2 linked regions of the Rattus norvegicus genome follow. The protein of the gene in region 1 binds, or shares a complex with, the protein of each later gene. Links are inferred from orthologs where the notes say so. Each region holds a gene or a part of one and is shown on either strand. Other genes may lie near its edges.

The links.
Region 2: Gas8 (region 1) and Drc12 share a complex: the UniProt entries of both Homo sapiens proteins name them as parts of the nexin-dynein regulatory complex. The link is inferred for Rattus norvegicus from reciprocal best matches to the Homo sapiens genes DRC4 and DRC12.

Annotation. Positions count from the first base shown.
Region 1 is NC_086037.1:68,478,255-68,481,499, reverse strand, and holds the end of Gas8 (dynein regulatory complex subunit 4), read right to left. Parts: intron 2,719-3,245; coding exon of another isoform or gene 2,671-2,718; exon of another isoform or gene 1,870-2,670; intron 959-1,869; coding exon 809-958; 3' UTR 693-808; downstream 1-692. UniProt on the Homo sapiens protein: Component of the nexin-dynein regulatory complex (N-DRC), a key regulator of ciliary/flagellar motility which maintains the alignment and integrity of the distal axoneme and regulates microtubule sliding in motile axonemes.
Region 2 is NC_086026.1:53,477,637-53,481,960, reverse strand, and holds the end of Drc12 (coiled-coil domain-containing protein 153), read right to left. Parts: intron 2,399-4,324; coding exon 2,268-2,398; intron 1,390-2,267; coding exon of another isoform or gene 1,384-1,389; exon of another isoform or gene 1,367-1,383; coding exon 1,238-1,366; 3' UTR 797-1,237; downstream 1-796. Other genes in the region: Nherf4 (Na(+)/H(+) exchange regulatory cofactor NHE-RF4), read left to right, coding at 95-124. UniProt on the Homo sapiens protein: Component of the nexin-dynein regulatory complex (N-DRC), a key regulator of ciliary/flagellar motility which maintains the alignment and integrity of the distal axoneme and regulates microtubule sliding in motile axonemes.

The sequences.
Region 1 (3,245 bases):
CTGCGCATCCCGCGTGGGGAAAGGCTGGCATTCACAGGCTGGGCCCGTGTTCCATCCAGGGCGGGCTGAGGAGGGCTGGGGAGGCTGTAGGCCACGCGAGGCAGGCAGGCAGGCAGGCAGCCCGCGGGCTGGGGCGTGCGGGTGGGGCTCGGGCAGGGGTGAGGGGCGCGGGGAAGGCAGGACGGGACGAGGGGCAGGCTGTTTTCTTAGGTGTGGGCTCTGTGTCGTCTGGGCTGTAGGCTCTGGGCTCTGGGATGAGGAGACACCTCTGCTCATGATTCTTTATACATATCCCTGTTCCTTGTTATTCGGGGCTTTCTGGGTCTTGTGGGCTCAAGGTGTGTTGGGTGGGCTGGCTGGGCTGGGGGGTGTGGGCAGCTGAGGGAATGCAGCAGGCTCTTGTTTATTTTTGGCGAGGGCTCTCGTCTATGTCCATACCACCCTGAACCTTTCCAGGAGGTTTGTGCAAAAGGTGGTGAATGCTAGCACTCACTGGCTGGCCCAAGGTCACAATGCAAATAGAAGTACCTATGATGGCTGGAATGTTTCAGGTGTGTTTGGCTGGTGTAATTTGTGCAGAGTTTGGAGGCTGTTGTATCACCAGGGCTCTAAGTGTCAGGAAGTGGACAAACGTCTCCCTAGCAGAGGGCTTGAGGAAACAATTTTTCACAAGGAGATAACACAGAAAGTAATCATGCAAAAACTTTCATTGGTGTTTGTTAAGTGTTCAAAACAAAACTTGTGCAGGGTGTGAATTCCCAGGGGAGAGGGGCAGAGTAACTGACAAGCTGCAGGCTGCTGTAGATGGCTATGTCGGCGCACCCACAAGTCCTGCAGGGCCCTGTCCCAGTGTCTGTCCAATCACTGCTGTCTCCAGGGGCTTGAACCCCACATTGTCCAGGGGGATCCCGAAGGCCAATAACTTTGCCTCATATGTACGCAACAGGTCGTTGTGGGCCTGCAAGGACAGAGCAAGGTCAAGAAGAGTCCACTTGGGCCTGGGAGTCGCAGCCATCATGCTATGGACCCCAAATGTCCCCTCTGTCTGCTGAAGGTGTAGGGTGGTCCACAGAGCTCCAATTAGGATAGCCAGTGCCTTCTGTAGTCTAGAGCCTCGCTTGCGTATGCCTGTAGCTCACATACTCACAAGGCCAGACTCAGGAGAACCGGAGCTCCTGGCCCTTTCCCAAATATTTCTCCCTAAGGCTCTCCTCTCCTTCCCTGCCAAGATGGACTGACATCTAATCCCTGTCCCTGGAGACCACATCCCCTCCAACTCCCCAGTGACACGCAGGGGTATGGTGTGTGTTTGTGGGGGTGGGGGGGTTGGGCCCCTGGAATGGTGCTGGTGGCCAACAAAGACAGGGGACTTCCTCTGAGGGAGCTTGCTCTTTTTTTTTTTTTTTTTTTTTTTTCCCTTTTCTCTTTTTGAATCCAGGGCCTTGTGCTTGCTAGGCAAGCACTCTACTACTGAGCTAAATCCCCAACACTGAGGGAGCTTGATCTTAATCCTGTTTTCGTTTTTTGGTGTTTTGTTTTTATGTGGGAAAAGGCCCCACTATGTAGCCTGGGCTAGAACTTGCTGTATCCCCAGAATGGCCTCACACTCAAAATCTCACTGCTTCACTTTTCCCTGCAGTGATTCTGGAACCACTCCCCAGGCCACGTCCTGTGCTCAGGAGTGGTGACCAAAAGAAGGTTTCAGTTTTGTTTCTGTTGACTTTTTGTTTCATTTTTGTGGAGTTTTTTTTTTTTTGTTTGTTTGTTTGTTTTTGAGAGAGAGAAAGACAGAAGGGGGCAGGAGAGCGAGCATACAGCTGGAGGTGGGGTAGGTAGGAAGACTTTTGGGAAAGGAAAAACATCCAAATATAGTGTGAGAAAATTTTTAATGATTAAAGTCACTACTGTCTTGGCCGGGTGAGTGCTAAGATTACAAGATTACAGTACACACCTTGTTAAATGGGTGTTTTTTCTCCTCTTTATGCAGGATCCCTAAATAGCCCTTGATGGCCTGGAACTTGCTATATACACCAGGCTGGCCTAGAATTAAACACCATCCACCTGCTCCTGTCTCTTGAGAGGTGGGATTAAAGGGGATATGCCACCACACCTTGTAGTTTAGTGCTTTTTATTGTTACTACACACATGTATGGGAAGGCACGCACAGCTTATGTGCAGATGCCCTAAAAGGCCAGAAGAGAAAGTCTGACTCCTTGGTGCAGAAGTTACAGGCAGCTGTGAGCTTCCCCCATGTGGATGCTGAACAAAACTCCACTGATGTCAACAACCCCAAATGCACATTTTAACTGGGAGCCTTTCATCAGGTAGCTGTGAAGTCTTGGTCTGAGAGAGGGCCTCACTCTGCAGCACAGGCTGCCCTTGAGCCCAAGCTCCGCCTGCCTCTGGCTCAGAGGTGTTGATGAATTGAGTGGAATGAGAAATGCTTTGAGCCTACCCAAATGTTCACAGCAGACGGCAGAAGGGTTCCTGAGCTGGGGGTGTAGCACACACCTTTAATCCCAGTCTCAGGAGGCAGAGATGGACAGATCTCTGTGACTTCCAAGCTAACCAGGGCCATACAGTGGGTCTGTGTCTCAAACAGAGCCAGAGAAAAGGGCCAGGAGGAGATGGTGCAGGCAGGTGGATCTTGGAGTTCAAGGCTAGCCTGGTCTACAGAGCAAGTTCCTGGACAGTCAGGGCTACACGGAGAAACCCGGACTGGAAACCAAACAGAGAAGAAGAAAAGGGTTGGTTATCCTCACTGAGGCTCAGGGAAGAGAAGCAGTGCTTGAAAACGGAGAGAAAGGGCCAAGTAAAAATGGGCTCCAGCGGGAGCTTCAAGGACTGGGCTGGCTACCAACACTCTAGGTCCAGACCTTGGCCCCCAAGAGCCAAGGTACACACAGCAGACTGCCCTATGCTCAGCCCATGTCAGCTGAGGATCAGGTGTGAGAAGCTCTAACCTGGGCTCTAGGGAGAGCTGGGAAGCTGGGGCAGCTGGGATAGCATGGATCCTGGGCCACAGTAACAGATGCTGCTCACTTCTATTAGCAATCAAACAGGATGGCATGCATGTCTGGATGAGGCCCTGAACTGAACAGGAATGCAATGCCTGCCCAACAGGACTAAGAATGTAACCTGTGAGGTGGCTGCTGTGGGTATGTCCTTGGCGGACAGGGAGCAAAGGAAGGACAGTAGACCCTTAGGACCATCTGGATGTAGCACCCAGGCCTCTCAGGTGCATG
Region 2 (4,324 bases), on another chromosome or scaffold:
CGTTGGTCGTCGGAGACTCTGTGGACAAAGTCCTATTCCTGAGCAGAGCATGTTGGGGCAGGAGACTGACTCTCCTTCTTCTCTCTGTGTGTAGGACTGGCCTCTGGCTTCAGAGTTGCTATAGGACATCCCTGCTTGGCATAGACTCGCCTATTCTCCTGCCCTTGCTCTGCACACGGAGATGGGAGGAGCCAGGAACAGTCTAAGTTGGAAGTGGGAACTGGAGGATTCGGACACTACTGATCGCAGGACTGCAGGGACCTTCCTCTTTCTCATGAGCCTACCTCCAGCACAGGGGTGTAGACGGAGACCTCAGGCCGGCTAGTAAGGGAGCCTGAGACTCCACAGGATGTTATGCAGAAGTTTTGGGGAGCTGTGCCCCAAAGATGAAGTTCTGTTCAAGAAGATGAGGCTGTGGAACCACTTAGGACTGAAGCTAGGGGACACGTGATGCTGTTGTCATGTGGCAGAAGGACTGGAGCCATATGTTCCTTCTACTGATACCTAGGAATCTTGGGAGCTGGTTCTTGGCTATTGTAATGTCCTGTTGTAGCCTTTTCCAGTTGGCCGGTGAGTAGGTAAAGCTGCTGTCTTCTAAGTCTGACAACCCGAGTTCACTCACTAGAACCATACAGTAGAACCTCCTGGAGGTTGTCCTCTGACATCTATATGAGCACTTTAGTACAAGTATGCTACTGTTCAAATAAATAAATAAATAAATAAATAAATAAATAAATAAATAAATAAATAAATGTATACGCGCACGCACACACACACACACACACACACATCTGGATATCTGGATTTGTGTTTTATTGGTCAGGATAATCCAAAATAGTTTTGTTTTGTTTTGTTTCGGTTTTTCAAGACAGGGTTTCTCCGTATAGCCCTGGCTGTCCTGAAACTTGCTTTGTAGACCAGGCTGGCCTCAAACTCAGAGATCCCCCTGCCTCCCAAGTGTGGGGATTAAAGGCATGCACTACCGTGCCCACTTAAGCCAAGGCAGTTTGAAGGGACTGAAGGTACTCCAGGCTATAGGGAATGGGATCTAGTTTCTGTAGGAAAGGGTTTAGAACATTGTCTATTTCTTATCACTCAGGGGTTAGGACAATGGGACAATGGGTTAACCTAGAAAATAGATGTCCTCACTGCCAGAGGCCACAATCTACAGTTCTATTGACTTCTACATCAGGTTGCTTTATTGATATTGATATTTAGAGATTTGAGGCCAGTGGCCTCAAAGATCCAGGGGGTTGAGACCAAATCGCCGTAGCTGCTCCTTGTGTCTGGTGTGGAGCCTCAGCGTGGCTGCATCCCACTGAGGCTTGACAGCTCTCAGCTTGGCCAAGAGACAGTTCAGGTTGTCCTGTGAACAGCAAGCTTTCAGCTCTCAGGGAGGGAGGGAAGGAGTGCATCACCTCAGGTTGCCTGGCTTGATTAGTAAGAGTGCTTCACTTCCCTCCCTCCCTCCCTCCCTCCCTCCCTCCCTCCCTCCCTCCCTCCCTTCCTTCCTTTTTGTAAGATAACTTTGCTTTGTAGTCCAGGCTAGCTTCGAACTCAGAAACCTCCTGCCTCATCTTCCCAAGTATTAGATTTCAAACGTGAACCATCATGCCTGGCTGCTGCCTGCTGTCCCCAACTCCCCAACACTCAGGCCTCACACATGCTAGACAAGTATCCTGTCCCAGGGCTGTGTATCCAGAGCTCTTTTAATTTGTATTTTGAGATACAGTCTCTTACTACACTGCCTATGCTGGCCTTGAACTTTGTACCTTGCTTGGTTGGCCTTGAACCTATGACTTGTCTGCCTCATTCTCCTGAATAGCAGGATTACAAGACTGCGGCACTCCTTTTCTTCCCTGCTCCTTCTCCTCACTCCTCTTCCTATCCCTGGTCCTAGTTCTGTGCCTGGAATTGAACTCATGGCCTTGCATACTAGGCTAGATATCGACCTATATCTCTATTTTGGTGTATAGTCCTGACACCATATAACGACGTAATCCCCTGATTATTTTGAGTCTCGATCTCACAGTGTAGCAGGTGCATAGTACATTATAGTGCCTCTTGGCCTTTGTAGCTCAAAATCTCCCTGTGTTAGCTGCCCAGGTTCTGGGATTACAAGTCACTGCTCTGTCAACGGTTATGCCTTCTCTTTACACTTAGGACAGAGCACGGCCCCCTTAGGTCATGGGTTATCACATCAATTGGGGGCAAAGGGATGGAGGGTTATGAGAATTAGGAGACGGCTGACAGGTAGTGGTGCTTACATGCAAGATCTCCTCATATTTGGCCTCCATGTGTGCCACATGGGCGCGAAGCTCAGTCAGGGTTCCATCTTGCTCTCGGAGGGCTCGCTCAGCCTCTTCCCTTGCGGTCTTGGCCTCCCTTTGGCATGTTTCTAGGCAGCGGGCAGGGAGAAAGAGAAGACAGGACAGTGACACTGTAAACCAAGAACAGCAACTGAAGGCGCCTAAGAGGCAGCTTCACAGAGGCCACTAGAGACTTCCAGGGTCATTGCTTTCCTGAGGTCTCTATAGACTCCCTGAGGGGTGGCAGGGTACATGGAGGGCTTGAGACAGCAGATGGGCCAAAGTCTGCTGCTTTTTACTTAGTGTGGGACGAGGCTCTCTGAATCACCCTGTCTTAAATGTTTGACCCAGGCTGGCCTTAAAATCTCCATGTAGCCAAGGAAAACCTTGAGATCCATATTGTTTTGCTTCTCCCTCTCAGGGTTGGTGTCACAGACTTGTACCACCTAGCATGGTTCAGTGTTTAGTTTATCTTTATAGATGTATTTATTTTTAATTTTATATCTGTTTTTTTTTTAAATATAAGATTTATTCATTTATTATATATAAGTACACTGTAGCTGTCTTCAGATACACCAGAAGAGGGCATCAGATCTCTTTACAGATGGTTGTGAGCCACCATGTGGTTGCTGGGAATTGAACTCAGGACCTCTGGAAGAGCAGTCGGGTGCTCTTAACCGCTGAGCCATCTCTCCAGCCCCTTATATCTGTTTTTAAAACATCTTCCTCTCTGTCTGTCTCTGTCTCTGCCTCTCAGTCTCTGTGTGTGTGTGTGTGTGTGTGTGTGTGTGTGTGTGTGTGCGCGCGCGCGCATTTGCCTGTGCAGTCCAGACCAGAAGAGGGTATTAGACCAGATCCCCTGAAACTGGAATTATAATGTTTTCCAGTCACCATGTGGGTGCTGGGATCAAAGCTAGGCCCTTAGGAAGAGCAGCAACGTTCTTAACCATTGAACCCTTTCTCCAGCTCCTTTATCTTTAGAGGGAAAATAACATATGCTCCTTGTGTTTGCTGTGACCTTAAATGTGAAAATGGATGACAAAGCACTGTATACAAAAGGTGCTCAATAAATGTTGACTTAATTCAAAAGAGGGTCAAAGTTAGAGATGGTGTCCCTGGCCTTTATAAAGCAGCTCATGAATATTTATATCCAAACCAAAGATATTTTAGGATAAGAAAACTTTGAAATAGGAATCTGATGACTCATGCCTAAAACCTACAACTCAGAAGACTGAGGCTGGAGGATTACTGAGTTCAAGGCCACTTTGGGCTTTTGAGGAATAAGAGAAGACTCAGGAGGGGCCTGGAGCAATGGCTCAGCAGTTCAGAGCACTGGCGGCTGCTGCTCTTGCTGAGGACCTGGGTTTGGTTTACACCACCCACATGGTGGCTCAGAACCATTGGTAGCTCCATGGGATCTGATGCCATCTTCTGACCTCTGTTTTCTTCTCTGATTGATTTAATTTGTTGATTTAACAAGTAGACATTTAAGGCTTTCTACCAGGTGTTTGGCTTTGAGGATACTGAAGTAAATTAAGTCTAACATTTTCTGTAGTTTGGCTGTAAAAGTTGGCTAAACTAAAAAGGAATATATTTTGCTTAGGACAGACAAAGCAGTGAAGGGGTTAACTGCTGGAATTGGGGAGATTAAGCAAAGGGAGAAATGTGGTGACACTTACCTTCTCTTTACCTCTGTCTTAGAGGCTTTTATAAAACTTTCCTTTTCTTTAATAAATTTATTTATTTTGTTATTTTGTGTGTATGAGTGCTTCACTTGAGTGCATGTATGTGCATCATGTGGGTGTCTGTGGAGGTCAGAAGAGGACCTTAGATTCCCTCAGGCTACAGTTATGGGATGGTTGTGAACCACCAAGTGGGTGCTGGGAATTGGTTTCTGGTTCTTTTTAAGAACAAGTGCTGTTAACTGTTAACTGCTGAGCCAACTATCAGAGAGGCCAACTCCAGCCCTAACAGGGAGATTTGTGGCACTGAACTTTTTGTTCAGAGGAGAGTTA